Linked DNA regions of Kluyveromyces lactis. The protein of the gene in region 1 binds, or shares a complex with, the protein of each later gene. Links are inferred from orthologs where the notes say so. Each region holds a gene or a part of one and is shown in the gene's direction. Other genes may lie near its edges.

The links.
Region 2: DAD1 (region 1) and SPC19 share a complex: the UniProt entries of both Saccharomyces cerevisiae proteins name them as parts of the DASH complex. The link is inferred for Kluyveromyces lactis from reciprocal best matches to the Saccharomyces cerevisiae genes DAD1 and SPC19.
Region 3: DAD1 (region 1) and HSK3 share a complex: the UniProt entries of both Saccharomyces cerevisiae proteins name them as parts of the DASH complex. The link is inferred for Kluyveromyces lactis from reciprocal best matches to the Saccharomyces cerevisiae genes DAD1 and HSK3.

Annotation. Positions count from the first base shown.
Region 1 is NC_006038.1:602,731-613,733, forward strand, and holds DAD1 (Dad1p), read left to right. Parts: upstream 1-7,644; coding exon 7,645-7,932; downstream 7,933-11,003. Other genes in the region: FIG1 (Fig1p), read right to left, coding at 1-674; ATP3 (F1F0 ATP synthase subunit gamma), read right to left, coding at 1,602-2,471; inositol polyphosphate kinase KCS1, read left to right, coding at 3,964-6,648; KLLA0_B07040g (FluC/FEX family fluoride channel), read left to right, coding at 10,373-11,003. UniProt on the Saccharomyces cerevisiae protein: Component of the DASH complex that connects microtubules with kinetochores and couples microtubule depolymerisation to chromosome movement; it is involved in retrieving kinetochores to the spindle poles before their re-orientation on the spindle in early mitosis and allows microtubule depolymerization to pull chromosomes apart and resist detachment during anaphase.
Region 2 is NC_006040.1:1,582,314-1,593,290, forward strand, and holds SPC19 (Spc19p), read left to right. Parts: upstream 1-4,079; coding exon 4,080-4,541; downstream 4,542-10,977. Other genes in the region: RKM2 (protein-lysine N-methyltransferase), read right to left, coding at 1-1,015; lipoyl(octanoyl) transferase LIP2, read left to right, coding at 1,261-2,259; KLLA0_D18799g (uncharacterized protein), read right to left, coding at 2,331-3,734; RAV2 (Rav2p), read right to left, coding at 4,576-5,643; ubiquinone biosynthesis protein COQ4, read left to right, coding at 6,021-7,019; PSY2 (Psy2p), read left to right, coding at 7,771-10,020; SPS19 (2,4-dienoyl-CoA reductase (NADPH)), read right to left, coding at 10,315-10,977. UniProt on the Saccharomyces cerevisiae protein: Component of the DASH complex that connects microtubules with kinetochores and couples microtubule depolymerisation to chromosome movement; it is involved in retrieving kinetochores to the spindle poles before their re-orientation on the spindle in early mitosis and allows microtubule depolymerization to pull chromosomes apart and resist detachment during anaphase.
Region 3 is NC_006041.1:1,076,754-1,086,964, reverse strand, and holds HSK3 (Hsk3p), read left to right. Parts: upstream 1-5,029; coding exon 5,030-5,224; downstream 5,225-10,211. Other genes in the region: ASC1 (40S ribosomal protein RACK1), read right to left, coding at 1-187; APL2 (Apl2p), read left to right, coding at 837-2,939; CMC1 (Cmc1p), read right to left, coding at 3,117-3,428; MRPL31 (mitochondrial 54S ribosomal protein mL60), read left to right, coding at 3,766-4,155; kinetochore-associated Ndc80 complex subunit SPC24, read right to left, coding at 4,233-4,802; cyclin-dependent serine/threonine protein kinase CTK1, read right to left, coding at 5,353-6,720; succinate dehydrogenase cytochrome b subunit SDH3, read right to left, coding at 6,969-7,514; VTC2 (vacuolar transporter chaperone), read right to left, coding at 8,016-10,211. UniProt on the Saccharomyces cerevisiae protein: Component of the DASH complex that connects microtubules with kinetochores and couples microtubule depolymerisation to chromosome movement; it is involved in retrieving kinetochores to the spindle poles before their re-orientation on the spindle in early mitosis and allows microtubule depolymerization to pull chromosomes apart and resist detachment during anaphase.

The DNA of each region.
Region 1 (11,003 bases):
ATTAGGGATACATTGCAATTTATGGCAACGTGAGTCCATATGGCACCAATAGCCCATAACAAGGTGATCAATGCAGATAAACCCATGATAATAAACTGCACGTAATTTTTAAATGGCAATTTAGGTATGATTGCATATACTGTGATTCCAAACAACAAAATTGTGAAAATGGTAACAACCATCAATAAATAAGGATGCACCAGTTCGTCAGAATTTTGGTGAGCTAACTCCAATATATTTAAATTACTGGACTCTGATTCTTCTGTGGAGTTGGAATTCTTGAAACTGAAAATCTTAATCGTCAAATCGTCAAATATGTCCATGTCATCTACCTTCTTCCTGTTGAAACAAACCTTAGACGATTTGCTCGAGGAGTTTCTGTCATAATTCGATGGGATGTTATTGATACATATCCCCATATACCCTGAAAATATTTGAACGTTTTCTAATCCATCAGTATATTCCTGTGAACTGAACTGATTTGAAATGACTGGATATAGGGGAGATTTATCGTTGAATTGATATTTCACCAAATACGTTGAACTCTGATCGACGTTGTAACAACCCACTAATAAAAATACCAATAAAAATACTGAAATAAAAGAAGTAATTAACACCAGCACCCTAGGAATACGTTTTCCTAGCTTATAGAATAAGGTGAATGGTAGAAACATAATGATTTTGTATTTATCAGTGTTTTGTTGAAGGATGCTAAGTTACACCTAACTGTACTAGAAAGTAAATTGAAACTAAAAGCTCATTGAAAGTTTGCAATATGAATGCATCTGGTTATATACGTTTAATGAACTGAAATAATACTGCATCATATCTGATAATCTTGTTCCAGTATTCAAGTGTTTCAGTGTTTTTTAACAGTGATACAGATATGAAACAGACCTGAATCGACTATGAATGACAGAAGACATGCGCCAATGCAACCTCATAATACATAGGAGAGGCGAAGGGGGATTCGCATTGAATATATCTGTTTTAAAAGAGTCATACAAATATGGTACATACGTAGTGATAATGGCAGTATACAGTAGAAATCTGAGGCCAGACGAGAGTGTTGTTGAATGAAATGCGAAAGTCCGAATATGTAAACTTGACACTCGATCGAACAATTGCCTTCATTGGAAGTGGCTCAAAACAATATGTGCGATATGAGTAGAACCTTGAAAGAGGCCAATATTAGTTTCTTATAATAATTCTTTATCGCCATTTGGAAATGTAAAGGCGTAAACGTCTTCATAGCCCTCTGAGAGAGATATTTAGTGAAATAAATCTCAAAGTAGTTTTTTTAATTGTTGTTAAGTTCTTCAATTCATAATCATAAAATATAGAAATGATGTCTTAGAATGATAATTTAAGGAAACCCAATGATAGTTTAACATTATAATACCAAATAATATATCATTTTCATTGATAGAGGTGGAAAATAGGTGTAAGTTTAGAAAAAAAAAGAGGCAGAAAGGGTGATAAGGAACTGCGATTGTAGAGGGGATGAGGATGCTCTTTCCTCTTCAGTATGAAGGTTCCTGTTTAACTCTTTCCAGCTAATTTAGTGATAAATTAAAAGTATTCTTTTCTTCATATTACGTTTAATCCAAAGAAGAAGCACCAGTAATAATATCAACCAACTCGTTGGTGATAACGGCTTGTCTGGTTCTGTTGTATAAGATGGAGTAACTGTTAATCATGTCACCGGCGTTCTTGGAAGCGTTATCCATAGCGTTTCTTCTAGCAGAGACTTCAGCAGCATAACCTTCAGCCATGGCAGCCAAGATTTCGTTGGATAAAGTGAATTCGAACAAATCTTGAGAAACGTTGTTGTCAGCATCGATTTCGAACTTGGAGAAAGAAGGAGATTGTTCAATGGCAGCAGCGTTGAAGACTGGCTTGTTAGAAGGTTCGAAGGACAAAGAAGAGATAGGGTCGTTCCAGAAGATCGAAACCTTCTTGTAATTGGAAGCACCACCTTCCAAGATCTTGTTAGCAATCAAAGAAGTTTCTTCAAAAGTTGGAGCTTCCTTACCAACACCATTGAAAGCGAACTTGAGGTTGTCAGAGTTGGTTCTTAGCAATTGACCCTTAACCTTGTCACCGATGGCAACAACATCAGCGTTTGGAGTTTGCTTCAATTGAAGTCTAACAGCCTTGGCCAATTGAGAGTGAATAGAACCACACAAACCTTTATCAGAAGTGATGGCAATGATCAAATCTTTCTTTTCAGCATCTTCCAATGGAACAGTTTCTGCGTTCTTGTAGAAAGCAGCATCGGCCAAGGCATACTCCTTAGCACTGTTCTTAGCTCTTTCAGCCTTGGACAATCTGGTAGAAGCAACGATCTTCATGGTCTTGGTGATCTTTTCGATGTTCTTGATAGACTTCAATCTGGTTTCGATTTCTCTCAAGGTTGCATAGTTTCTGGAAGTACCACGTACAACGGATGCAGTGTTTCTCACAAACATTGTTATTCGAATGTATATTTCTTACGTTGGGCTTGCGGGGTTGAACAAAGAGAACAGTTGAAAAGGTAGACTGGTCAACTCAATGCAAATACAATTCAAGTATTCACCGTGTGGAACGTTAATCAAATTATTCAAAATACACACTTGTAATAGTAAAAGAGTTAAAAAACCTCGAAATCGATATGTTTGAAAATTATTTCGAAGATTGGGAATTTCACACCGGGTCGTGAAATTCGAGGTATAAAGGGAGAAAGACGGGGGGCAGAAGCCAGGAGAGAATAGGGTGGGATAGTATAGGTTATTTGTAGCTAGTCTTGAGTAGAATGCTGCGGTTATGGAGTGAGAGAGTCAGCTTATATGGCCAGATATATACTCTAATTGAAGGGGCTCTGTGTATCTTTGAAGATGGAACGCCATTATATGGATCATCATATACGAGTCCAGCAATAAATTTTTGATTTCTGTGAGAATATAGCGGTCTTACCCGGACTTGTTATGTATTCCATGGTATCATTGGCGGAAAGTCACGTGATGTAACGACAGCTAGGGTCAAAAAAATAAAAATTCTCCGCGACGGGGAATTGAACCCCGATCTCGCACGCGACAAGCGCGAATTCTAACCATTAAACTATCGCGGATGTGGTAAAATCCAAAGAAAGCACTCACGGTGGGGGTCGAACCCACAATCTTCTGATTAGAAGTCAGACGCGTTGCCATTACGCCACGCGAGCATATTAATTTGGATGTTTGAAAAAAACATAATTTGATGGTGCATGCAAGGATGCTCACCACATGCTTCCGTTTCCCTTATTATTACAACTCAAAAAGGCATGCCAGGCAGGGGGAAAAAAAAGGAAATTTTGATGGTTATAATAAGGCACAATCTTCAATTTAAAACCATTACACACATGGGTTCAGATCCCCCACATGCAAAGACTGCTCCTCCCCTCTTTTCACCTTGACGCAAACCTTTTATTTATTCTCTCTCATCTCTATATTCTGTCTACATAAAATGAATTTAAACTACCGTTACTGAAAAAGGAAGAGTGTAGCGTGCAGGTGCTGCTGGACGTTATGTCATATCTTGACATTCGCATGTCAGAAATTAGGGCCACCTGCAGTTGAAACATCATTTAGAAATAGTGAACATCAGACATTTAGTATCTGTTCAATTTCTATCTCGATATCTATTCCATGTTCAATTTAATCAGTATTCAGTCTTTCGTTATAATTTTTTTTTTTAAAGCTTCTTGATCTAATATATCAATAAAGAAAAACAATCTTTCAATTCATCTTAATAGATATATCCTCAATCTGGCCCAATTATCGGTTCGCGCTGTTTGCCAGGTGAGCCAAAGAAAGCCAGTACTGTATTCATATTATTCTGTGATTTCATTCTCATCTGCGCTTCTCTTATCTCTTGTAACAGGACTCTTTTTTTTGTTATTATTTTGGTTTTCCAATCCTTTGTTACAGGCTGTTTTATAAACACATGGAGCAAGAGGTTAATGGCCTGCAGCAGCAGCAACAGCAACAGCAACAGATGCAAGTACAACGGCATGGCTCTAATGAAAATGCCGCACAACAGACCACTCTGGTTGCGGCTCACTTGCAGGATTTAAGTATGGACGATAGTTGTAACAAACAACGGCATCCTTCACCCCAAATTAGTGGTCAGAACCAGCAGCTGCAACAGCAGCAGTCTAGTAGGAACAGGAAGAGTTCTGTAATTCATGGTAGAAAAGCAGCTAATTACTTGAGAGTGTTCGATGATAAAGACTCAGATGTCTCGATTCCTGATCAAAGCCTAAGGAAGTATTCTGGTGGTGGCTTAGGCTCCAAATCTAATTCAAACTCAAATGAGACAGAGATCGCGCATGGTCCTAAATCGTTTATGAAGGTCAGCGTAGACCAACGACCTGTTTTGAAAAATACTAAGTCGACAGATTTGACAGATTTACATGAGCTGGAAGATGTGGATGCGACAGAAGGTGTTGCATTAGAACCAAAAACTTCCGCGTCCGCTATCTACTTAACAGATGAAGATCGTCACATTTTATCCAGTTATAAAGATATCTCTATAATTGATGAGAAAGATAAGACAAGTGTCAATCTCTTTGGCCCGGATGTAGTGGTGCCCCCTATTCATATCGGTGCTGCGAGAAATCACAAGGATGAAGAATATCCAAGGAAGTTAACTAATACAGCTTTAGAACAACAACGGCACGATGAACCGCTGAGAATTGAAAATAAGATACCAAGTTTCAATTCTAAGACAATTCCTGATGAAAGTGCTATCGCTGACGATGATGATGACGACGATGTTGAAGAACACGGTGATTTCCCCTTGGCGGTGGAATTGAAACCTTTCACGAACAAAGTTGGAGGGCACACTGCTATCTTTAAATTCAGTGAAAGAGCCGTCTGCAAAGCTTTGGTTAATACAGAAAATAACTGGTACGAAACCATAGAAAAGGAGCATCAAGAACTTCTTCAATTCATGCCAAGATACATCGGTGTATTGAACGTCAGACAGCATTTCCACACGAAGGAAGATTTCTTAGAAGAAATAGTTAACAATACAACCAAGTTCAAAGCGAATAATAATACTAATACCTCTAATGACAACTCGCATATTTCCAGTAATGATCTGAGGAATGAGAGAACACTTAATGACCAATCTAGAAGCTCATGTAATAGATTAGCATCACCTACATTCTTGTCACGAATGGAAGACATCAAAGAAGGGATTTCTACACTACCGGAAGTAGTGCTAGATGACAACAAGCATATTATACCCAATTCACTGTATCAACAATATTCTTCATCCCGGTCGACTTCAAACTCGCCTTCTAGTGCTCCAATAGATTCATTTTTGTCGTCTCGTTCTTTTGACGGAGGAGAGGTTTTTAAGGGTAATTCCAATCAAGGATCTGGATCAACTAGTGTCAACACAAAATTACAAGAATTGGTGGTCAAAGAAGCTTTCATGAGACGGAAACCCTCGGGTGTATGTTATAGTCCTCGTTCTTCACGTACTAGAACAGGATCTTCCTCGTCTCTAAAGGAATGTAAACACTCGAGATCTTCTTCCTCTTCTTCTAATAAGAAATCAAGAGGCCTGGGCAACGAACAATATTTACGGCGTAATTCTATGAAGCGAGCAGCCGTATCGACAAATAACGTATTAGATGTGAATCCTAGCAACTTGGAAGATGACGATATTATGTTTAAGTTGGACGATGATGTTCATGAATCAGATGTCAAATCTCCCGAACAACAACAAGGTGCCTTCAACCATGAATCTGTTTCCGTGGAAGAGACTTCGCATACTATTGTCTCTAAATTCATCTTACTCGAAGACTTAACTCGAAAGCTTAAGTGCCCATCAGTTCTTGATTTGAAAATGGGCACCAGGCAGTATGGAGTTGATGCCAAGAGATCCAAACAGCTGTCACAGCGTGAAAAATGTAAAAAGACTACTTCGAGGAAGCTTGGAGTGAGATTATGTGGGCTAAAGATTTGGGATAAGAAGCATAATTATTACATTACAAGGGATAAGTATTACGGTAGAAAGGTAAGAGTCGGTTGGCAATTTTCTAGAGTGTTAGCAAGATTCTTATACGATGGCGAGTCGAAAAGAAGTATCGTTAAGCAAATTCCTATCTTGATTCAACAATTAGATACTTTATACAGTGAAATCGCGAAGCTGAAATCATACAGATTGTACGGATCATCTTTGCTCTTATTTTACGATGGCGACAACCCTCAGAACAAACGATCTCGGGTGAAGGTAAACATTATAGATTTCGCTAGGTGTGTCACTGATCGTGATATAGAAAAGTCACTAGATCGTTTTAAGATTGCACCTCATTTCCCAAACAGAGAGGATCAGGGATTCCTTCGAGGTATAAAATCCTTGAAGTTCTATCTAGTTCATATTTGGAATTTTTTAACTAACGACGCCGCTATGGTCCAACATGGAGAGCAGCTAACGCAGTTTTTGGAAGATAATATAGACAAATTCAATTCCAACTGGGACTGGCTAGATGAATACGATAAAGAAGATGACGCCGAGGCCTGCAATGCGGAAAGTCCTTTGCGCGTAAAATGGCGGAAATATGAATTGATCTTTGACATTGAGCCCAGATACGCTGATGACGAAGTCAGCGACTAAGGCCAATCATTTGAATAAGAACCAAATTTTTTTACTCTCAATTACAACTACATCCAAACGACATATTCTTGTTAGTGCAATACAGCTTCAGCATAATTTATATATAAGCTTGTACGTAACTACCGTGTAAGTATAATTCGGTTTTTGCTTTGCAGCTAAGGCTAAAAGTCATAGGTTTTAGCATTGTTACCTGGTGGAAAGTTGCGGGCTACACGAGTCGATTGTTGTGGTTTGTATTTGTTTGAACAACGATAGGGTTATATCGATATAATTTTTGAAGATCGGATAACAGAACTTAAATTGTTCAAGACTGATAAGATTTATTCTCCCAGCTTAGAGAGACTAGCCAAGAGTTGAAGATGCCTTGGCCAGCCAAATATACTGGTTGATTTTTACTTGCCCTTTTACGCTAAAGAAACTTTCAAGAACTATGTAATATGGTGAAAGAGTAAGCATTCAATAACTTTTTCCATTTTATATCCGAGAGAACATCGGTAGGGTAAGCTGAATATGATGTGAAAGGGCAGTCAGTCGTATTATATAGCTTGGCGTGAGATGAAGATCGTTTGCTAATCCAGGTTACCAGTATTTCGCTTAAAATTAGTGGTTTCTTACATTTGCTATGTCTTTCAAACGTCTGTATATGTGCCAATGATAATCCTTGCCGGTAACATCTTGATTTCATATTTGAAGGTAAATTGGCAGTGAAGATTCAAATACCGCAGATCGCGATATTCGCCTATTTTAATGTCTAATTGAGCTGCTAAATGTTCCAATTACCTAAGCTTTGGAGCCAGTTGGTTCTCAGCGATACACCAGGTTTCTGTCATCAACGACTTAGTATCTTTATGAGAAGCGGACAGTTTTATTAAAACATTTAGATCATGGAAATACACGAAAAAGGTAAACTGATATGCATTGTATATCGAGGGTCATCGGAAAATAACAGGAGTCCCGATTTGCATACACTGAGGGCCCAACATATAGCAAGCAGCAATGACAGAAGAGGTTCAACAGCTATCGACAGGCGACAAATATTTCATCGAGCAAAGAAGTCTGATATTACAAGAGATCAACGAAAGCATGGATGCCATTTTGAATCAATTAAATGGGTTAAACATTACCCTTGAAAATAGTATAGCAGTCGGGAAGGAATTTGAAAACGTATCACAGATATGGAAACTGTTCTATAATGGGCTTGAGTCTGAAGAACAGAATATGGAGACGGTAGGAGTAGCAGATTCTGAACATATTACGGAGGATGTCAATCCTGAAGGGAAATAGAGAATTGGTTTTATATCAAGAAAGGCACAAATTGAGGAACTTGATAAGCTTTGCAGATAAAACTTACCAGCCAATGAACTACAGCAACGTGTCGCATCATAAGTATTTTTCATCAGTTGTTTGTTCTAGAAGTGTGCTTCTATAGACGGTATATATATGTAGACCGTTTGGTACAGGATAAAAAGAAAGTTAAGAACACGCCACATATTTTTCATCAGTTTCTGCTTAAATTTCGTGCGTCTTCTACTAATCTCTTGATTTGCATCCGAAGCTATACTTGTATTGAAGGGAAATGGGGCAATATGTTTAACACCCTCGAGGAAAACAAGTGCATACTGACAGAAGGGATTGTGGCATTTAGCGTTACTTTTTGCTGGGCAACAACAAGAAGTTGGTTCCTTGGCCCAGTTGGTTAAGGCACCGTGCTAATAACGCGGGGATCAGCGGTTCGATCCCGCTAGGAACCATTCTTTTTTTCAAAAATTCCTCTCTTTCTTAAGTATACAATGTAACGCTGAACCTCTTAATAATACGGAATATCTTCCATCAGTCAGTCGAAGTGAGCAAATGGAATATTATCACCCACAATGGTAATGCTGGTCCCCCTGCCTACGTTATTATCCTATATTCTCTATCTTTAAGTCCAATGCAGCTTGACGCGACTTTTCTCTTTTGAGCAAAAAACAACTTTCTTCAATAGAAAGAGAATCTGCAATTTGATGTTTAAACAGATCAAGTTCTGGAGGAGTAAAACAGATGTTTGGTCTTTAAATAGGCCTTTGGTTCTATTATAGAATATATGATGGGTGCGGAATCACGATCGGTATTTGTGTGATGCAATTTCTGGGGTGGTAAGGACCAGTGCCACACTTGGGTTTGATTTTCCTCTCATCGAGTTTCGTGTGCGCATGTTCGTCTCTCACATCGAGTTATACTCTCATCTTCTATACATTAGAAGGATGCATCAGCAGTTTGATCTGCTGAAAGAGTTCATACACCCAATTATTGTTTAAAGGCCTGGTGTTGGGTAGTATTTCTAACGGATTTTAGAAATGCTATGACAACAATACCTTTAGAATTATATTGTGTGGATATTTACTTCTTGTTAAACAGACTGTGACATATCTCAATGAGAGGGGATTATTCTCGTTTTTGGAGTTATTCTGATGCCTGTTGCTCTTGCTCCTACGCATAGAAGCATAGCATTGAACTCCATGGTGTGGTACTTCAAATCCGTACACCACATACCTAATCAAAACCGCCTCGCAACGGCTTCCATATTCTCGTCTGTATTCAATCGTGGATAGTGGTTTCAGCTCGACGTGGGTATGCTAGTGACTCAGAGTTTGGATGTACTAGGTTTCATAAGGATACCCAACTGGAAATGTTGCGGAAATATCACATTCGTCCTTGCTCCATTGTTAACTCAGTGTCACTTTAGGTCCTATGGGAAACAATGTTGAGCTGATGCATTTTTCCGTCAAGCCATTACCGTTCTTCGGGATGGCAAGGATTAGCCCTTCCTATTACAGGCTTTATAATGGAAAACTCTTAAGATATATTTCTAGGTTTTTTTCCATGACAGAGAATTAAGCCTGTGGTTCATGTTGATATTCCAGAATACGCAACAATTGCTGCGTATTCGGTAGGTTTCTTTTTAGTGATTTTTCCAAACCCATTCTTCTCTTCGTTAGTATATTTGACTCGGTTCTATTTCAATGTGTCGCATTGAAATAGAAATCCTTTGTGCATAAAATCATTTACCTCAACTTTCCTCACCAAGTATCTTTGAATGATTTTGCTCCCATCAAGAAAGAAAGAACTTCTACTACAACGAGTCAATATGCTAGCATGGTGGAGGTACAGTTGTCCTATGGTGGATCTTGAAAAGACCCTCGGAAGACAGGGCCACATCGACGATCAATATTTTGCCTATCATCAACAAATTGTGACTGATTTTTCTCTCATCGTTTATGAGAGAACCCTCTTGTCTCTTGTGATTGACGCTTATATGTCACCATGGCATGCAGCTGCTCCTTATAACCACTTTTTGGTACATCTCCCTACTAAGACTCGGGAACTGTTGCACTTATCAATTTATTCTTGAGATAAGGGCAACATCCGTCTCTAAGTAAACATTTTTTTCTTCTCTAAAAGTTCTTTATGAAACATAAATATTATAGCCTAATGCCCGGTTGAGTAGCACTGTTGGGTTTCTATCAGTCTGTAACGCCGACTCTCTCTTCATCGCATTTGAGTTGGCATATCTTGTCCTTTTGTTATTACGTAGAACTGTCTGTTGACATTTTTCATTTGAAGTGACCGAAAGAAACTGACTTGCATCAGCACATGATAAACCAAAACAATGTAAACAACGTAAACAACGTAAAAAAGCCCAAAATATCCTGCCAAACTAGCCAGTGTACTGGAACTTAGGGCTATGGGTTATAGGGACGCCTATCGTGATAATAAGCGCGTTATCAATGAAAAGCTGTATGAAACCCTGTTGGTTTATTTAACTTTCATTCCGTTTACTGTTCTTGGCACTTATACAAGGCTTGGAATATTCCGTTTGTCGTCATATGAACCGTCATACATCACTGCAACTTCTACAATATGGTCTAATATGGTAGCATGTTTCCTATTTGGTGCTATTAGATATGCTGATGGGATTATCACAATAGATTCATATACGTTACCTTCATTGACCACGGGATTCTGCGGTACCGCTTCATCATTTTCATCTTTCATATTGGAATTGTTTCAACATTCCACGCATTCGGCTATCTCAGGTGCGCAGTACCCCAATGCTGGGTACGGTGTTATGGAATTCTTATCTGTGCTTCTGATTCAATTAGTTGCTTCTGGAGGAGCGCTCGTGTTTGGACAAACCGTCGCTCGACATCTTCTAAATCATTACACGAGCTATCATAAAAAGCTACAAAAATTCATCAACTATGGCGGAAAGTTGATGAGATTCGCATGTATACCCATAGTGGTATCTCAAATAGTTCTTGCTATTGTATTTTCAGGCAACAGCAGGTTCTGGACACTTGATGCCCTATTCGGAA
Region 2 (10,977 bases), on another chromosome or scaffold:
AATTCCACTCATTGCATAAAGTCGTGAAGCCATATTCAGCCAATAAGAAATCATTCGAATGAGCACCATAGTTGAGAAATAACTCTTCGCCGGCCTTCTCATACTGGTGATTTCCAACCCTAATCGAGAATTCTCCCAACCCGTAGACATTCCTTTTCAATTTATTGATTTCCGGATAACAATGCAGACTCGCCTTATTAGTATGGTTCAAATAATCGACAAAGGGAACCATAGTGAAATAATCTTTGACATCAGTTTTTAATGGAATTTCCATATATAGGCATCTCGAGTTAATCACAAAATAAATGTGTACAAAATGCGAGAACAACTCATCCATGCCAATAGTTGAATGAGTAAATTCTTCGGTCCATTTTTTAAGAAATCCTCGTACAGCATTCCAATCAGCTAGCAAAAGTTGACTAATCCTCTTTTCGTGCTCACTTGACGCCGTTGGAAGACTTTCAAGTAAAATTGATGCATTTTTATCCGAACGGACTAGACTCCATTTTGTAGGAATCGATCTCAATTCGTCGTCGGTAGGAAATATGTCGAAAAACGGTTTCCACCATGACGTTATTGTACCGTTAGACCAATTCGGAAGCAGAATCCATTCTGCAAGAATAAAAAGACATAGTAGCTGAAAAGAATTGAAATCAGTAAGTTCCTCTTGATTGAAAATTCCATAAGCTTTTATTCTGGGATCTTCTTGGCCCTGGTCATCAAACAATTCCGTTGCAGCTTCACCAATTGATATATTATCATTGGTAAAGATATTCTTATTAAATTTTGCTATCCAATGCAACACCGTGTGAAAATTTAACTGATGAGAACTAGGAATGGAAATTAATACTTCATTTTTGGTCAACATACCGTTGCCAAGCCTGATCCCTCGGCCAACTAACGGATCTTCAAATACCTCGATCTTTGGATTAACGTAGCATTTTCCAGACCCATTTAGCCACTCTAGTAATCTAGAAATCTTACCATCTGAAAACTTGGTTTCATCATTTCTCATTGTTGAACCCCGTGATATGATCTATCTACTGAAGCTACGTCATGAAACATGTTTCCTGTATGCTCATCGCTTCATTGTGCTTCATATTCTTAAATTTCAGCGATGTCTTTGTTAAGAGAAAAAAAACAGAACAGTACATTTCTGAATTTCCGCATAAACAAAGGCCCCAATTCAGATAATGACATAGGTGCCTTAACCACCTGCAATTATTCTGCGTTAGCCAGATTCCAGAGAGTACTCTAAGTATGTCTAAATTGATGCTGATAGGTACTAATTACTGGTACCCTTCAAAATTTGGATGTACAATTTTCCGTAAAGTCCGGTTTCAATCCACTCTGAAATGCACATCAACCGCCCGTACGCAACCAATTGATCCTTCAGCTAAAACAATCAGACACTTGCAATTCGTTAAAGAGATCCCATTTGAAACGGGGATCGATATTCAGGAGAAATTTGTACGCGCTCATCTTGACATTAAGCAACTACAATCCAAGATAAAGAGAGAAATGACAAACTTACAAAAAGAACATAATGCCGAGATACAATTGAATTTTCACGAACAAATGATACTAGATAATATCAATCAGATGAAGCCAAATCCAATTGTGCTTACATTTCAATTTGAACCCACTTATACTGGCGGAAAACGTGTTAAGAAACAAATTACGGATGAACAGATCGCCAGATATGAAGGCTTTATTCCATCAAAACAGAAATATAATAAAAAACCCAAATTTGTGCAGGCTGAAAGAGGTGGCCAAGTGACGTTTCATGGTCCAGGGCAAATAGTCGCATACATCATTCTCGATTTAAAGACATTTCAGAACTTGCCGGCCAAATGCTTAGTTTCAACTATTGATAACGCGGCCATGAACGCATTAAAAGTAGTTCCAAAATTCCAAGGATCAGATGAACCATTGAATTTAATTACCCAAAAAACCAATGATACCGGCGTTTGGGTCTCTAATCAAGAAAAAATTGCCAGTATTGGCATACATGTCAGAAGATCTGTCACCTCACATGGTATTTGTATTAACGTTGACCCAGACTTGTCTTATATGAACAGTTTTACCATGTGCGGGCTGTCAGAAAAAAAAGCCACTTCCATAAGAGAACAAGTCCCTGATAGTTCTACCTCTGTTAATGATGTAGCAGTTGCATTCGTGAATCAATTAGCTAAACTTTTGGGCATTACCACAGTAGAGAGAATTCAACTTGATGATTTACCCATTTACACTGATTAGACGCATCACCCGTAGTCTGCAAGAAATGCTTAGATTAATTTTTACTTTAAGAATGATATTTATGATTAGTTTTACTTTGTTGCATATTTAAACACAGCAGCCAAAGCCCCTGCCGAGATAGAACTTAATAAAAGCAAGTTGGTTGTAGTACTGGGTAATTTACTACCTGTTGATACAGCTGGTAATTGTGCAGTACCATCGTCTTTCGTCTTTACCGGTTTTGACTTTGCTTGTTGTAATTGGGTATTTTTAAATATTTCGACCTCAAGACGTGTCTGTAATTCATCAACTTCACTTTTTAGCTGTTTGATCTTAGTATTTTTCAAGTCATTATTTTCCTTTAGGGAGTCATTAAGCTTCTTATTTTCTTGTTTTAATGCCTGTATTTCTTCATTATGGATGGTGGTTAGTTCTGCCTGTTGATTCGCAAGCTTCTGTTTAACGCTTTTCTGAAGTTTGACTAGTTGTGAGTCCGCTTGCTCCATTTTCATCTTTGATAGATATTCAAGCTTTGTAATATAATTAACGATGAAATTGTCAATCGATTTCAACTTTTCATATTCCAACTTTTCAAGTGTTAGATCTGTCACTAAGGTCTTGATGATATTAATCAAATTCGGACTTGTTCCGATAGAATTGTTTATAAATATTCCACTCAATATTTCCGTTTCAGACCCCAATACAGCATCTTCGAGGTCAAGATTATTTACATCTCCGAACATGGCGGCTTCGAACGCAGCTTTTTGAGCAGTTGTTATCGTGACCATTGGGTCTGGAATCCCATTGTTTGCAGGTGTACTCCTGAAATCTCGTTTATTTGATACTAGTAGTTTATCGTTTTCGCCAATCAACGGTATCACTGAAATGTCCTCCACTAATGCACTTATTTTACGATGTTCAAGCTTTGTGTCTATATCCGTCCCTAAATCTATCACATCCCCCACTTTGATTTCAACATCAGTTTGACCGATCCTACTACCATTCACGAAAGTACCATTAGATGATTTCAGATCACGTATACATATTTTACCAGTTTTAGCATCACACGATAACGATGCATGGTTTCTTGAAAGCACTCTAGAATCAAAATTTCCATTATCAGCTTTCACCTGTGGATCAGCTTTGCCGGAAAGTCCTCCGTTACTTCCAGAATTTGAAGCTCCAATGACAGGTCGTCCCAATTTTAGTCCACTGGGCTTGAATGGAACTACTAAGAATTTAGTCTCAAATGTGTTGTTCAACGATTTTAGAACCAAAACATGTGTGTATTTGTTTCTGGCCTGTGTTCTCTCATCTTCAGCGGAAGTCAGTTTATTAAGAGCGTCATTACTTGAATTCAAACAGTTGTCATTCGAAGAACCGTTGCTGCTTGAGTTGGAACGAGCTCTTCTTCCTTTTGTTTTTGATGTGCTTGTGTTATCGTTACTCTGGTTTGCTGAAAGAGGATCCAATCGACTTCCTTGTTTCTCAGTCATATTCACTGCTTATAAGAACCCAATTAAACCATATGCAAAAAAAGGTAGTGCAAAGTGCAAGTTCTTATTCGGCTTCTGATTCACTTCAATGGAGAGACTGCCTCGTAGCAAATACTGCTGAAGCTGCTTTACCACTTCTGTGAAGATAATACTAAAATCATGAAACTGAGAAAAGAATGGACTTAATTTCAATCACAATTATTTTAATTCACCACATAGAAAAGAGGTAAACAAACATTACGCAACATACACATGAAAACACAACACTTCACATAGATCGGCAGGATTGTAATTGGATAACGCACTGTGATAATTTGGCATTGTTATTTGAGCTGATTTGACACAATGGAAGAGGTACTTTCGGAGGGTGTAGATGCTTTAGCAGCATGTGTCGATGACATGGCGAAATGTTTAACCGTATCTAAGGTCACTACAGATAGAAGCACTAAACTTGCTATAAATATGCTACAAACTAAGAGGGTATTCCAGTTGGTATCAGAATATGATGTGCAGAGGGCCAGACTTGATTTGATGGAGGATATAGAACCATTGTTACAAAAACTATATAGTAAACTGGAAAAAGCTCTAACCAAATTGGAAAGGGAGCGGGCCACTCTATCACAAACATTCGAATTGAATAAACTACGATTCAACAATCAAGAAAGTAACCCCATCATAGATAATGTGAAATCGGATCCAGTTGTAATAGTATCCTCGACACATGAAGAATTGGAACGTCTCAAAGACTTAAAGAATCGTAAAGAAGAACTGATACAAAGAATACAGGAATTGCATGAAGAGAGATAAATAAGCATACGCCGACTCTCTATCTATCGCATTGTTAACTTAAATTTTGAATATTTACAAAGTGATTGCTGATTTTGTTTTCAAGCCCGTTCAACTTTGCACTGACACTAATCAATGTAGGATCGCTGGTGGTAATTGAAACTTTCTCGCATTCAGTGACAACTCGCCCGTTAAATGTCACACACCTAGCCAATAGATCGCTTGCTTGCGGAAGAGTGATTCTTTCAGTTGCTGAAAAACTGGATATCAAATTGTTTATCATAGATGTTTGTTCAACTTGCAAGCCTTCTTCCTTAAGGATCTCTGCGATTTTTCCATTTCTGTCTTGCTTCAGCCTGTCTCTGACTTTATCACTGAATGATAACCCAGTTTTCGAATCGATCTCACTCCAGGGTTTTTTAATGACTTTTGTCAAATTCCTAATGTCCAAGCAAATCTCGTTTTTGAATAGCACTAATTCCATATTGACCAAATGATGTGCTGATTCACAAATGTCATGAGATTCAGAGAAGTTGTCGTTTAAGAAGCTGTTGTTATTATGCGGAAAGACCAATTCTCGTGGAGGATTTTGTAATAATGTAATAGATTGTGTAAGTAACTCCAATATTTTCCCAATTTTATTGTGAAAAGTATGAATATCATCAAGTTTCATATCGTGTAATTCGGAAAGTTGCTGTAATTCGTCAAATAAGGACAATACGGATGATAAATTTGTAATTATGGCATTTATTTGAACTAAGGGAAATTGTTTATCAAGGTCCATCTTTAGAACTATTGGTTTACCCCTGCTAAAGTCTGGAAGCTTAATGATAGCCTGAAAATCCACTATAAATCCGGCCTGTCTAGTGATTGTCCCTTTAATCGATGTGCTGTCTGGCGCGGCACCTGATGTGTTAACGGAGACACTATTCCCATTGGTAAGAGGCATTCGAAATTTCTCAGGACTAGATAGTTGGTTTATGCATTTCTCAACATGGTCCATAACGTTAGGTAGCTCAGGCTTTATGATTTCTTTAATCAACCATGTCTGTTGTAACAAAGAGCTCTCCTCATATGTAGGAGCATTTTTATATGCCCCATCATTATATAATTCCGTAGTCATCTCGGATTTATGCAATTGAGAATTAATGTAGCAAAGCTCCCTTAGCGTGTAGATAGCAAGAGCCTTGCTAAGATGGGCGTTTTCCTTTGTCAACCTTTTTACTATTCTTTTGCCTTTTTCGTATGATGATTCTTCTGAATATTTCAAATTTAAACCTTTTCTTGAAGTTGATGCGACTCACCCACATATACTTTAACTAGAGATAAAGGAAGATCATTGAAAATTGTAAAGTGGTTGTAATTGAAATTGCTGGCGTGGATTAGGATCAAGGTTTACACAGATTCTAGATTTGACTCAATTGACGAGTTGTACTCCGGGACACAGCTTTTTATTATTAGGGAAAGTGTGCTATTAAACGCATCAGACGACGACCGCAAATGTTTACTGTAAGTAAGAAATCCTTACAAGCAAGTCGTAACGCTTTCAGTCCATTGAATAATAGCAAGAGAACAATCGTATTTACTGCAATAGCAGCTTTTGGAGACCTATTGATTGGGAAAGATGTTAGACTAGCAGATGCTATGGAGAAAGGGAATCTGCATAATAAAAATGGAGAGTATGAGCATAAGATGGAACAAAGGACTCAAGAAAGGTTAAATGCATTACGAAACACAAGACCGATAGAACCTAATTATGAGGGTCATGTTCCACTTTGGTGGTATGAGCGAATGATGCTCTTCGGTATCAGTGGTTTAAAATCTTATTTCCACCCGGAGAACGGTGAGAACATCGTTCAATTAGGAGAAGCTACTGCTCTACCTTGCTTTCTTGAAAGTTTAAAACGGACAATGTTGTTAGATAAGACTGGTAGAAGGATTCTACAAGACAGACCAAACATCACATCGGAAAGCCTTGACATGGAACGATTGTCAAAGATGGATAAAAATTCAGTTGGCTATACGTACTACAAATGGTTGATGAAAGAGGGGGTCTCTCCAGACACAAGGGCACCAGTTACTTATATCGATGATCCTGTCCATGCTTTCATATTTAAGAGATATAGACAATGCCATGACTTTTATCATGCAATAAATGACCTACCAATCATAATCGAAGGTGAGATTGCAGTTAAAGCATTTGAGGCATCAAACATTGGTGTCCCAATGGCTGCACTTGGTGCTCTATTAGCACCATTGAGATTAAAGAAAGTGCAAAAGGAAAGACTTTACTCCATCTACCTCCCATGGGCAGTCAAAGCAGGGCTGAATTGCAAACCTCTCATCAATGTCTATTGGGAAGAAATCTTGGATAAGGACATAGACGAACTAAGAAGAGAATTAAACGTCACACCACCTCCAGATTTGAGAAAAATTAGAAAGGAAAGAGCGAAACAAAGAAAACAGTTCAAGCTTAAGTATGAGACCTACGAGAAATGAATTTTAAACCCTCAATCCCCAAATCGTGATGGCTGGCGTAAAGTTGCTTTGTAAAGTATAATGCAGGGTCATTCTGTGGATATAGGAACCAGGAAAAAAGAAATAGAAATACGTACGTAATGAAATAAACGTCTTCAATTGAAGAGGAAAAAGATCGCCTTTGCTTGATCGATTAAAAAATATATCTATAGCTAACATCCTTGCTACGTACAGTACCACTGCCTACACTTTTATTTGCTAACGCGGTATGTTAAACAATTATGATCGAACTTCAGTACGATGTCCTCTTTCCCTCGGTGTGCTTTGCAGCCTTAAAACTGTTCTTTTTTCTTATCACTGCGTTTAGCGGCCAAGAAGAAGAAAAAAAAGAACAAAGTTAAAAACTATCCAATTTAAGACTTCTGACCAGGGCATCTCATCTCACCCCATAATAAAAGAGAAGCAGTGTCTTGTGAGGGTTTTAAGCGGAAGGGGAGGATAATCTGATATTGAACATACAAGAATCTGTTACTTCAAAGCTCTTATAGCGCTTGTGTTTAATCCTCTTTGTCCTTTTTTTTTAACTGGAAGAAGTCACTGACGCTTTCGACGAAGTGTAAACATTCAAGTTTTCTTTCGGACTCACTCGGTTGTTAACGCATTGCAACTTTTGCTTACAAGACTTTGAACCTATTTTGTCAGGTCACAATTAGCAGAAAGAGCTTACGAGATCTTGCCATTTATTAGGGCTTCGATCAGCATAATATAAGATATGTCTGAATCTAACAATATGCATGTTTCTGGGGATGGTGCCAAACAGTCGGTATACACTGAGAAGAAACGCGTGAAAGTCTATGTGTTGGAAAATAACGAGTGGAAGGATACTGGGACAGGGTTTTGTCAGGGGACAGTGGAAGAGCGTACTATAGATGACACTCAGACTGCAGAGAAAATGGCGTATCTTTTGGTGGTCGATGAAGACTCCGATGACCAGGTCTTACTTAAGTCCAGGCTCGAACAAAACATCGAATACCAGCGTCAAGAGGAAACTCTTATTGTCTGGAAGGATCTGAATGGTCAGGATATAGCTTTATCCTTTGAAGAAAGCATTGGATGCGATTCTTTATGTGAATATATTTGCTTTGTACAGAAAAACATTGAAAGCCGCATCTCTTTGGTAGCTGTAAGATCGACAGATGATGGAATCGGGTCTGTTCATGAGATAATAACAGGACCGGTCAATCTTCCCTCAAATGTACCAAACCAGACAGAAGAATCCCTTTTAGAAGCATTGAAAATTCTAAACGAAAACACGTCATTTGATTATCTGCGAAATGAGACAATTCAATTTGTTATCAACGATCACTATTTAGCAACACTAATCAGATCATTCTATCAGTCAGAAGAATCTAAACTATATCGAAATTTATTATTATTGAGCAACATTGTGAAAACTCTAATATTGTTCAACAGCAAGGAGATTTTGGAAGAGATGATCAATGATGAAAACTTTTTATGCGTTTGCGGTATATTGGAATATGATACTGAATTTCCAAACTCAAAACTTAACCATAGACAATATTTGAAAGATAAGGAGCCAAATTTCAAGGAAATGATTCCCATCTCAGATCCAACGATCAAATTAATGATTACGCAAAATTTTAGGCTTCAATTTTTGAAAGATGTGGTTCTAGTTAGATTTTTGGATGATCAATCTTTCACCTTCATATCTGACCTAATGTTGTCATACCAGAATTCCATAATAGATTTCCTACAGGAGGATAGCAACAATTTTATTAATCAAGTCATCTCGATGTATAAAGTTGAGGAGGATTCAACCGTCACCCCAGATAAAAGAAGGGACGGTATAAAACTATTACATGAATGCATCCAACTTTCCCAAAACCTAAATTCAATAGAAAAAACCCTTTTCTACAAATTTTTAATCAAGAAAGGGTTGTTCCAAGTCATCCAATTTGCATTCAACATGGAAACTAATAACGATATTCGAATCCTTGCAACGGATATAGTTGTGGGGCTCATTGAACACGATATCCAACTAATCCAAAGTGTGCAAAGTGACGAAGTCACCTTATTGAATGACGAGAATTCAGATATTGATTCTACAGATATGTCTCTTTTACTTATATTGACCAAGATCCTGCTCACTGATAAGAGTCCGGGATTGAAGGAACAGTCCTTCCAAGCACTTGTAAGTTTATTAGATCCTGAAGACTATATTGTAGATGACTATCAAAACCATGATGACAATATCGACACACGAATTGATAACATGCTTCAAATTCAGAATGGCAAAAATCATGATGGATTAGACGGTGAACGAAATCACGAGAAATTTCAGCTAGCTGAGTACTTGCAATGTTTCTATAGACAAGTTGCGCCCTCCCTTTTCCATTGCTTCATCGATGGATCTGTTAATCTCTATGAATGTGATCAACAGTTACTCATAAAACTTGTGAAACTTCTCAATCTCATGATTCAAGGTCATGAGGCATCAATATCTAGACGATTTATTCTCGAGAATGGAATTTTGATCAGGCTTATATCACTTGCTTCAAGCGATTATATCCTTCAATTAAGGCTTGCTGCAGTGCGTTGTTTCAAAAACATCGTATTTTTAAATGACGACTTCTATCTTCGATATCTTATTGGTAAGAATCTCTTCGATCCAATATTTGAAGTTTTTAAGGAAAATTTGAACGAAGATAATATGGCTAATTCTACAATTTTAGATTTCTTAAAGTCGTTAAACACTCAATTAAAAGTGGTTGAGCAGGAAGATATTCCGCTTTCCGGTAGTAAAAGTTCAAGGAATTTCATGCTGTTGAATAAGTACATCTGCGGTAGATATGGTGATATATTACTGAAGGCAGATTACGTTTCTTTCACAAGAGAAATGATGGCTATTTATCATGAGGAAACCCAAAAGCTTGCTAGTTTATCAACAACGGAAACTAGCTTTGATGAAAATGATAATACTACACTGGAAGTTGAAGTATGACATTCAGATATATCTGAAGATGTGATGCATTTAGATGCATATTAATAATAAGGTTAAAAAGAAGGAGGTTGTTGTTTTATATAGGGATAAGTATTAAAAAAACTAGGATAATATTCAATTCAAGGTCAGATCTTGCATTCTCTAATTGAAAAACAAGACTTTGAAGTTATAGATGGGAGAAAAAGAATAAGAGTTATATGATCTGTGTGTTACAGATTTACTATTTTGAATGATCCAATCACAATGTGCAATGGATTCTCCGTTAGTCAACTAATAGCCAGAAGGAGAAGGTTCTTATAGTTTTGAATCAAAAGCATAATTCAACTCTTTAGGATAAAACTCTCTCGTTATTTGTGTGCCTACATGCCAGGCACCACCGTCGACGACGTGAATAGTTCCGGTGATGTATGAAGCTGCAGGAGAAAAAAGGAACACTGTCGTGTTTGCAATATCAACTGTTGTGCCAAGCCTTTGCAATGGAATCATCTCTGACAGATCTGAGCTCGAATCATTTTTAGTGAGTCGTGCCAACCCTTCAGTGTTGGCGATAGCACCAGGAGCTACACAATTGAACCTTAATCCCAATGGTCCCATTTCTACAGCCAATGCATTTGATAAGGCATCAATACCGGCTTTGGCAGCACCTACATGTGACTGAAATGGAACGCCATAGTAATGTAAAGTGGAACTGACAAAGAGTACAGAACCTTTAGTCTTGACCAATTCTGGGAAACAAGCCTTGACCGTGTTAAAACTACCCAAAAGATCAATTGATACCACTGATTTGAAAGCATTCGAGGATAGATGTGTAAAGTCCGCCAAGAAGTTACCAGCAGCGCCAGCGATAACGTAATCTAACCTACCAAATTTTTGAATGGCCACTTTAACAGCCTCATGCAACTGATCCACATTTCGGACATCGACGCTTGAAATGGGCAAACAAGAGTGTGGATCATG
Region 3 (10,211 bases), on another chromosome or scaffold:
TGTAAGATCTAACTGGGACACCGAATTGTTGTTCGTTTTCGGTCAATCTCCAGGAGATCAAAGTCTTATCTCTGGAACCAGAAACCAACAAGTTTGGTTGAGCAGCAGAGGTAGACAAAGAGGTGACCCAGCCGTTGTGACCTTCTAGGGTACCTCTCAAAACAAGCATAATATTGCTGGAAGACATTTCTTTTCAGTTAATTCCTTGAGATGTGTTGTTCTGATGAATCAAAAGAAGAGAATAGATAACAATTTCAATCAACAAGAACTGATAGCTTAATACTAATGCAGTAAACTCTTGCAAGTTATATCAAGTTCTTAATACTTTCTCAATATTCAAGTGATGAGCTTTGGCTAGAAAAGAATTTTTTTTCAATGTGCGTGGTGCGTGCTGAGTGGTACGCTGAATGGTGTAAGGGTGTCGCGCGTATCTTTTGGTCTGGCAACTCTGAGGACTGTGTTTTTATAAAAAGTCGGGTATATCAGTACACCACACTGCGGTGCGTAAGAATTTACGCAGAAGTGTGAATCTCCCTTAGCAATTTCCCTAATCAGGTAGTAACCATTCTTATTAGGAAGTGAGATCTCTCAATACCGTAACCCGGACATCATATGATGTCCGGGTTACGGAATCTTCCGATACACGTGAGCACACACGTGACCTCGCCAGCAAGCTTTCACTTTCCAGTATTCATAGAAAACATCAATCAAATTAACTGGAATCTGTATATAAATAGATGAACCTGTTTATATTCAAGACTCTGTCCCCAAGCGATTAGTCTTCCTTCCTCCAGCCAATTGCTTGCTCTGCTTTCTCATAAATACCAAGGGAAACAATGGGTGTTGATAAGAAGATCAAGAAGTTCTTAAGAGACGCCATACGAGTGGCTCCTAAGATTTCCAATAAAGGTGAATTGTTTGAACTACGAAATGGATTAGTATCTCAGTACCCACAGACCCGAAAGGACGCGATCCGTAAGATTATTCAACAGATGACTTCCGGCAAAGATGTTTCATCTTTGTTTCCCGACGTTTTGAAGAATATAGCCACTCAAGACATTGAACAGAAGAAATTGGTATACCTTTACGTGGCTAATTATGCAGAAACTCATCCGGAGTTATGCATCCTTGTCGTGAACACATTCGTCAGCGATGCAGCTGATCCGAACCCATTGATTAGGTCTATGGCAATCCGTACCATGTCGATGATCAGAGTTGATAAGATCTTGGAATACATTGAGATTCCGCTAAGAAAGACTCTAGTCGATGATAATCCGTACGTGAGAAGAACCGCGGTACTATGCGTTGCAAAATTGTTCCAATTGAACCCGGACCTATGCCGTGAATTGGGCGTATTGAACGATTTGCAAGACGCTTTGTCTGACGATAATCCAATGGTTGTTGCCAACGCGCTTGCCGCACTGCACGAAATTAACGAATTGGACCCTGGTTCAATAGATATCAAGAAATTAGTATCTCAAAACGTTAAGAGGTTTTTGAACGTGTTGAACGAATGTACAGAATGGGCAAGAATCACTATTTTGGAGTCATTGAGCGAACACAAACCAATTGACCCTATGGAGTCTCAAGAAATTATCGATAGAGTTGTTCCACATTTGCAACACGTAAATCCATCAGTGGTCTTGATCAGTGTTAAATGTATACTCATACATCTACCAAATTTGAACACAGTCCATGACTCTATATACAACAAGTTATCAACTGCATTGGTCTCACTAATGTCGACCCCAGTGGAGATCCAATATGTTGCTTTGAGAAATATAAGAATTATTTTGGATGCCTTCCCAAACTTGTTAAGGAAAGAGTTAAGAATATTCTATGTCAAATTTAATGATCCATTGTACGTGAAGATAGAGAAATTAGACATCTTGCTCAGATTAGTGCCCGTGGATAATTTGAAACATTGCCAGATGCTTTTCAACGAATTAAAAGAATATGCAAAGGACTTTGATCATGAATTCGTGACCAAAGCTATCCAATCCATCTCACAATTGGCCATTAAAGTCTCGAACGGAGGTGAAGATACGAATAACAAGTTTTTGAATATGGTCATGGAAGAATTCGTTTCGATTGTCCAGGAGAGAGAAGAGTTTAGGGATATATTGATGAGATGCGTATGCGACATGTTACGTTATGACAGTGACAACAATCTTATCAAGGAAACAAGTAAGAATGAGTTGGGTGCCATAATTTCCTCATGGCAAGATATCGATACCATATTTACATCTGATCTAGGCAGTTGTAACTACATCTGGTTTATCACCAACTATACAAACGAAAATTTGGAAACTAAGCTTGAACCACTGGTAGAAGTTTTCGATGAATTAGGATCCCTAACTCAAATGTCCCTTCTAATGGGTGTAGTGAAATGCCATAATGCAGTCTCAAGTGCTTTCTTACAGAAGATCTTGGAACTTTGTACGACAGACGTCCACGATTTGGACGTTAGAGACATGGCCATGATGTACTGGCGGTGTCTATCGATCGACAACGGTGATCAAATCATCAACCAATTATTTGACAAGCATGAAATTCCTAAATTGCATTCTACCTTGGACCACTTCTCCAAGGAAACATTACAAAGTCTACTTCAAGAGCTCTCCACTCTATCCTCTGTGTATTTCAAACCAATCTCGCAGATGCAACGCCGTCCCAACGAAGTTCACATCATTAAGGATAAGGATATTGATGAATTAAAGGGAATGGCCACGAACGAGATCCTGAAAAACATGAACGATGATGTACTACTTGACATGGGTGATAGCTCTGCCACGAGAAGTACAGGCGTCCTGGACGAACTAAATGATCTTTTCGATATCACTGGTGATATGGGGAAAGTAAACATTTCACAGAAAACCAATAATAACAACAACAACACCTCGAATTCCCATGCAACCGATCTTCTAGACTTAATGTAAACTAGTTTACTCTTTTGAACACCTGTACAAACTATAATTATAATGGGAAACAATGAAGCAGATAAACTTCAATCATGGATGTGCCTTTCTAAAATGTTAATTTATTATGGTGCAGTATCTACTACTATATACAAGTAACCCCAGTGGCATGTCATGTCATGTCATATCATGTCAACTTTATTCCTTTTGTTTCTTGAGAAGATCCTCAAGTCTCTCAATCTTACGTTCCACTATCAAGTCACGTTGACGATCCAGATTAGAATCCTTCTGGTATGATAATATACATTTGCGCATAGCGTCACGAGGTTCGTTACACGCTGGGAAAAGCTTCAATCCATGAATCTTTGAACATTCGACCATGGCCTCCACGTATTCTACACATTGTGCATATGCAAATTTCTTCAAATTCTGACGAGCTTCTTTCTCCTCGGTAGGGTTCAATACCCAAATTGGTAATCTTTGATTATGCTTTCCAACGCCCTCTGACATTTCTAAATGAATAATCTATCTTTGTGGTGCAGTATTCCAGTACTATAAGAACTTCTGACCTATGGTTATGGACACAGCAGCAGCTACAAATGACAATACGCTGGCTGTTCCCCAAAATCGTTTAAATCAGTTGACATTGTTCATTTGCATAATGTTGAGATTTAAAGCTTTTTCATGGATACTTTGAAAAATTTCGAAGGTTTAAAAGATTTAATACCATGAATTACGGTGGGAAATTGGTAAAAGCCAGCCAGTAGCACCGTTATACAAACTGTTTAAGCAGCTCGTTAGGTTCTGTCATACCCGGGTCAATTGAATATCTTTGTTTCATAGAGAAATGTTCGGTGCATTCAGAGCTACACAACCTGCATTAGGTGGATTATTATGGAAAGTCCCATGGCGTATGTCTGGTCCTCAAAAAGCAAGACAAAGAGACCGTTTGAGAAGCGTTGATGATGTTCTTTCAACTCTTAAGTTAGGTCTTCATCTTGAAAGAAACCATATGGCGGTTTCTGAGGGATCTCAGCTGAATCTACGTAAGATTAAACCTCGTGTGAAGAGCTTACGTATTTTAGACAAGGCTCAGTATTTCCCAAAGGAACCGGAGATGTCTGCTACTGATAAGTACAGTGTATTCAACAGGTACTCGAAGGGATATAGAAAGGGTATACATAAAGTTCCCAAATGGACCAAGCTTTCCATCAGAAGAAACCCACGTCATTTCTGATTTGGATGAATCATCATTAAAAACTTCTATTATTACATAGTAAGTAGCCCCTGTACATAGTGAATAAAATCAAGGTATCATAGTTCATCCCAGATGTTGTGAGATGATGATGATGATGATAATGGACGGGCTTCATTCCTTAGATCGAGCAATTGGTCATTATATAGTGCTACGTCAAGGGAATGGAACAACTTCAACTTTAGCACACGTATCTTGTCATCTTTACCGATCGGTTCCTCATCAATCGTGTGGGCAGCATCAGTATCGTCATTGAGTAATTGTTTCTGTGTTTCTACGACCTTTTGAATACCCTCTTGTATCGTATCTCGAAGCTGGTTAATTTCCTGTACCAGTTTATCTATGTCTTGTTGCAATTTCGGTATGTTTAATTCGTCCTCTACGCGTTTCACTTGGCTTGTTTGCTCCTGAAAATTCTTTTTAAGTGCCTGCACTTTAGTTTGCTGTCTTTGCAGCTGTGATTGCAATTGTTTCATGAGCTCATTGTGGTGTGTTTGTTTCTCAGCCATCAATTTCGTGAGCTGTCTCATATTACTCTTGATCTCTTTAATATTAGAGACATCGCTTTCAATGATGAAATTGGACCGGGTTTGCTGTAAAAGCTCTACTGGATCATTGAGCCGTGACATTGGGTGCTGCAATATCCACTGTTGCTCAGTACTGTGCAGTACTGTTTCATATATCACATCTATTTATGATTCAATTCGATGAGATTGTCAATTGTGTTCACTTAAATCAAAACATTGAATCTTTAAAATTGCATCCACTAATAGCAGAGAACCTTTAAAACAGAAGTACCAAAGGATATTGCTCAAGATCTTTACTCGGAAGGTCATCCACGTTACTGATATTTACCATGGACAACAAACAGCGCCAATATGCGAGACTAGCAGCACATTTGAAACAACTTCGTGAGAATCTCGATGAGACAACGGCTCAAGTGGAAATCATGGCAAACCAAAGCAATATGATAACGAAACTGGGAGCCGTCCAAGCCAGCACTTTCATCGGCAGTAACCGTGTATTCGAAGATGAAATGTTAAAGAAATGAGGTATGAGATACATGCCTACGATAAATATCGGTTTGTAACACTATATGTATATATGAACGTATACCTAATATCTATGGATCATGAGAAAATGAGAAAATGAGATCAAAGGAAAACCCCCGCTTCTTCTCTAAACGGTGGTCTCCTTCTGGCGTTCGCGCTCCTTCCTTCTGATCTTTTTCACTTCGTACTCGTGCGAACCTTTGAACTCGGGTCCCAAGAGTAGAGGTTGTGGTTTGGGTTCATTTGTGAAGTAATGATGCTGTAATGCTTCAGTTGTCGTGAATCTTGTATCCTGATCGTATCGTAACAATTTGGATGCCAAATCTAGGGCATCCTGCGGTACTTTGCTGAACTCATCGAAGAATACGTTCTTGTAAGTCTTAGATATTTGTGGTACAAGCATGAACCACCACGGCATATCTAACATCTTGGGCCATTGTTCCAAAGTCGGACTTCCCATGATGCTCAATATTCGCTGGAATTGATCTACTTCGTTAGAACCTGGGAATATGGCAGCCCCTGCAAACAATTCCACTAAGAGACACCCACATCCCCAACAATCCACCTCGTATTTATAGTCTGTTGCCCCTAGAAGTAGTTCGGGAGGCCTGTACCAAAGCGTAATGACTCTGTTGGTATTGGAGGCTGGAGAAGAAACGTCCGTTAGTTTCTTGGCAAGACCGAAATCTGTTATCTTCAAGTTACCTCTGTTATCTATCAATAAATTCGATCCCTTGATGTCTCTGTGTACTATTTGCTGTTGGTGCAAATACTGTAACCCAACGAACAATTGCTTCATCAAGTGCTTAATGTTGGAATCGGAAAACTGGATCGATTTATCCATTAACATCCCTGACAAATCGTTCTCCATGTACTGGAATCCCATAGAAATTGTATTTTTATCCGATACGATAATCTCATGGATCAAACTAATGTTTGGATGGTTCAACTGTTGTAATAGTTTAATTTCACGAATAGAAGTTATTGGAAACCCATCACGCTCTTGCTCCAACCTAAGCCTCTTCAAAGCGATAAGTTTCCCAGTATGTACGTTCTCCGCCTTATAAACTTTCCCATAGGTACCTTCTCCGACTTGTGCCAACGGTTGGAAGCTGGATTTCACATCTTGAAACGATATCAATGCCAAAGGTTTCTTGCCAAAAATATTTCTTGAATGAGAATCTCCAGCGCTTTCTGCACTTGACCCCATAGCCCTGGGGCCCCTAGGTATACTGCCATGACCTTCGAACCTCGATCCACTCGTTTCAGGTCCATTACTGGGCCTGTTGAACTTACCTCTTGGATTTCTTTTCCCCAAAGAACGATTGACGTTAACATTTCCAGCTGTATTATGATGATTATTAGGCCTATTTGGCTGGTACCGCGACTGCGACCCACCGTGGTAACGAGACTCCTGTCTCTTCTTCCTGAAAATCTTGGGCTGACTCATGGATACCCCTGTGTTTGGCCTGTGGTGTGTCCATTTCATCATCATTCCAAACTATAACTGATAAGTTTTCAATGTATTTAAGTATAAAGAGTTTTTAATGTTGAAAAGATGGAATACCTAGTATATTGAGAAGAGAAGAAGAAGAAAGGGAAGTAAGAATATGAAACTACAGCCGCTTGAAGCGGTTCAAAGTTTAGAATAAATAAATAACTGGATCATTGATATAGAGAAGTGTACATACTGAGAAAGGAATGTGTGAGTAAAGCGTCTGTGAGGGAACAGAGAAAATTTTCTTACCATGTTAATAGGTAAGAACCCATGATAGCAGTCAATCCTAGCACAGCGTAACCTGTTCTGTAGACACCTTTCAAGGTCAACTCTTTACCGGTATCCCAGATCAGATGTCTGATACCGTTACCGAAATGGAATGCAAACAAGTATGCGAACCCAGCCTTTGCGGTCAAATCAATCCAGGATGGGATCTTTTCGTTATAAAATTGAACCAAATTCTCTGTGGACATTCCTAGACCGAACACAGTGGAAACACCGAACGCAATAGTTACTGCATAGAACGCTAGACCCAAGAAAACACCGGAAACACGATGCACGGACGATAAATACCATGTCAATTGTGGTTGATAAATGGTCAAATGAGGAGACACTGGTCTAACTTTTCTCTGAGAAACTAGCAACTCGTACTCTTCTTGAGCCGTAGTCTTCTTGGTGACGACATTAGACTGACGACGAATAAAAGAAGCCATCAAACCTCTTGTGTTTGAGGTCATAACTTGGGGTCTTAGACCACTAACAATTCCTGGTTTCAAAACGTTTTTGAACATGGTTTGATAATAACAACTGTATGTATGCCTTTTAACTCCTGCTTTCCTAACAAAATACCAGAAATATTTGCCAGTCGGACTTTTAAGACCTGTCTATGAAGCAGGCAAGAAAGTAAACAGACTTTATTGTCTTGATGAGTATATTCTTTAACTAATTCCCTTATATACTTTTCTAATGGTTGAAACTAAAGTTTCCGGTTTCCCAGTTTCGGTCATTCGGTCCTTTCGGATGATTTCGGAACGAGTCGGGAACCGCTAGTCACGTGCCTTTAATTTGAGAAATATCGTCGATCAAAAAACTAAAAGTTGGTCACGTGCTGATTTTGGCAGCTATGAATACTAGGTATTAGACAAGTGGACATACCATTGGTCTATTATCAAGGCATTAACTACATTAACTTTTATTAGATGGAATGATGTGGAATGATAGTTTACATAGGTGTATAAATTAATAAAAACACTCTCTCGTCTATTGTCTATTGTCTATTTTCAATTTGGGAACTATGGGCCCGCGATTCTACCGATGGTTTCTACGGCGCTAGCGATGAACGCAGGAGTAGCTGGATCATCAGTGTGGCCATTTCTGATTAATTCTCTGAATGCAACGACAAAGTTGATTATTAGCGTAGTAGACACGATGACGGAGACGGCCAAAGGTCCGAATGGTGCGTCAAGGTGTTTCCCACTACGGGCTCTGATGACGTTTATTCTGTTGATGTAGGTTTGGTACGCCCATAGGCCAGTAAATACAGTCAATGCAAAGTAGATGTAAGTTAACCACTCGGCCAAGAATGGCATGTTTGCCTTCTTCACAGAACTCGAGATGGAAAAGGTTAACACACTGAGTAAAGTGGTCACTGAGAGCCATTTGTTGAACGTACGTTCGTTGGCTAGCCATACCTTTGCTTCGACTTTCACAGGACCAGCGTTCTTGATGTAACTTGTTGGTTTCTTGACACCCGGTGGTAATTCAATTTCTTCGTCTTCAGAATCGACACCGGTGAGTTTGCTGTCAGTGGTGTCTCTACCTGTCAAAAGATTGAAAATGTTAGGTTCATGACGATGACGATGTTTCTGTTTTCTTGCATCTGATTTCCCTTTGTTTCTGGCCAAGGTAGCAGAATCTTCATCCTCGGAAGACTCTTCGTCTTCCTCAGGTTCGTCTTCTTCGTTCAAGGCACTTGTCGATGGTGCAGCTGGTGAAGACTGGTCTCCGCCACCGGCTACCACTGACAATCTCTTCATCTTGTCCATCTTGGCGACATGCTCCTGTTGTCTTTCTAATTTCTTCTTCTCTTCCTCGTAGGCCTGGTTTGGATCCTTTCTGATATCGAATTCCAAGTCTGGTAACCAGAATGGTAACATATCCAATTTTTCATCGTCACCGAACAATGAGGCCACACCTTGTACGTATTTGGAGAACTTTGGCACTTCTTTCACCAAATGGGAATTGGCTAAATCAGCGATCCATTTCACTTGGTTACCACCATGGGCTAGAACGCTTAGTGCATTCTCGGATGAGGCAATAGAAGACGCAGATGTCTTCACTTTGATTTCCATAACAGAGTATGGGAACTTAGCGTATTCGCCAGGTCTAACCAATTTCAATGGATGGGCCACGTTAGAATCAATGTCAGATCTGTGCCAGTGATGAGGGTCTCTGATTGGACGGTCCTTGTCAAAGGAATCTTCACGGATGTAAAGGATATCTGAATCGATAGTGATTCTTACACGGTCATCACCTGGAATTTGGAATGCAGTTCTTTGGTATAAAGTTCTTAGAACTGGTTGTAATTCGTTTTCAAGAATGAATTGTTGGATGGAATCGAAATTGTTTTCCAATTTCTTGGTAGTATCGTTGCTTGAGCCGGATTCCTTCAATTTCTTGAGCATCATTTCCTTATATTCGGTATCACCGTTGAAAATAAATCCATTGATGAATTTTGGTTTCAACTTAATCCTTGTTTCATCGAAATCGGTCGAAGAAGAATCCTCGTTGTCTACAAACATTCTCTTTTCAAGGAAAATGTCCGGCTTGTCGTTCAATTTACCAATCCATCTCAATCTCAAAGTTGGAGCAGAGTTGGTTTTCAATAACTTGTTGTTGTACAATTCGAAGAACTCGTTATCGAAATATAGCGTGGAGATGACAGGTTCAAAACTTTTGTTCAAATGACCCACATCGGTTTCGTTACTGGAACTGGACATTGCTGGACCACCGTCGTCATTCAAAAGATTAGACTCCAATCTATCGATCAAGTCTTCGTTCTCAGAGGGTGCTTGAGCATAGACTAACACTGGCAAACGTCTCAAGATATTAGTTTTCACTTCCATTAAATTATCTTGATGAATCCAGAATTTGAAGGATTGTGTAGACATCTGTTCGTTCTTTGGCATAGAGGAAAGTTTTGATGAGTTAGCCAAAGATTTCGATACAGATGAGAAGTTGTTACGCAAGATGTTGTATAGATAAGAGATCTTGTACAACAATGGAGAGTATTCTTCCGAATGGAACGGTAACGATTTTAATCTCACTTGTAACAATGACTTGACAGATGGGTAACCTGGATGCAATTTGTCGTGTTTCTTCACAATCTTGGTGAAACCAGTGAAATTTAAACGTTGGAAATTGTCCAATTCCTGGGCCTGACTCAAACATTCTTCCAATTGTTGATGGAACGCCTGAAAATCAATCGT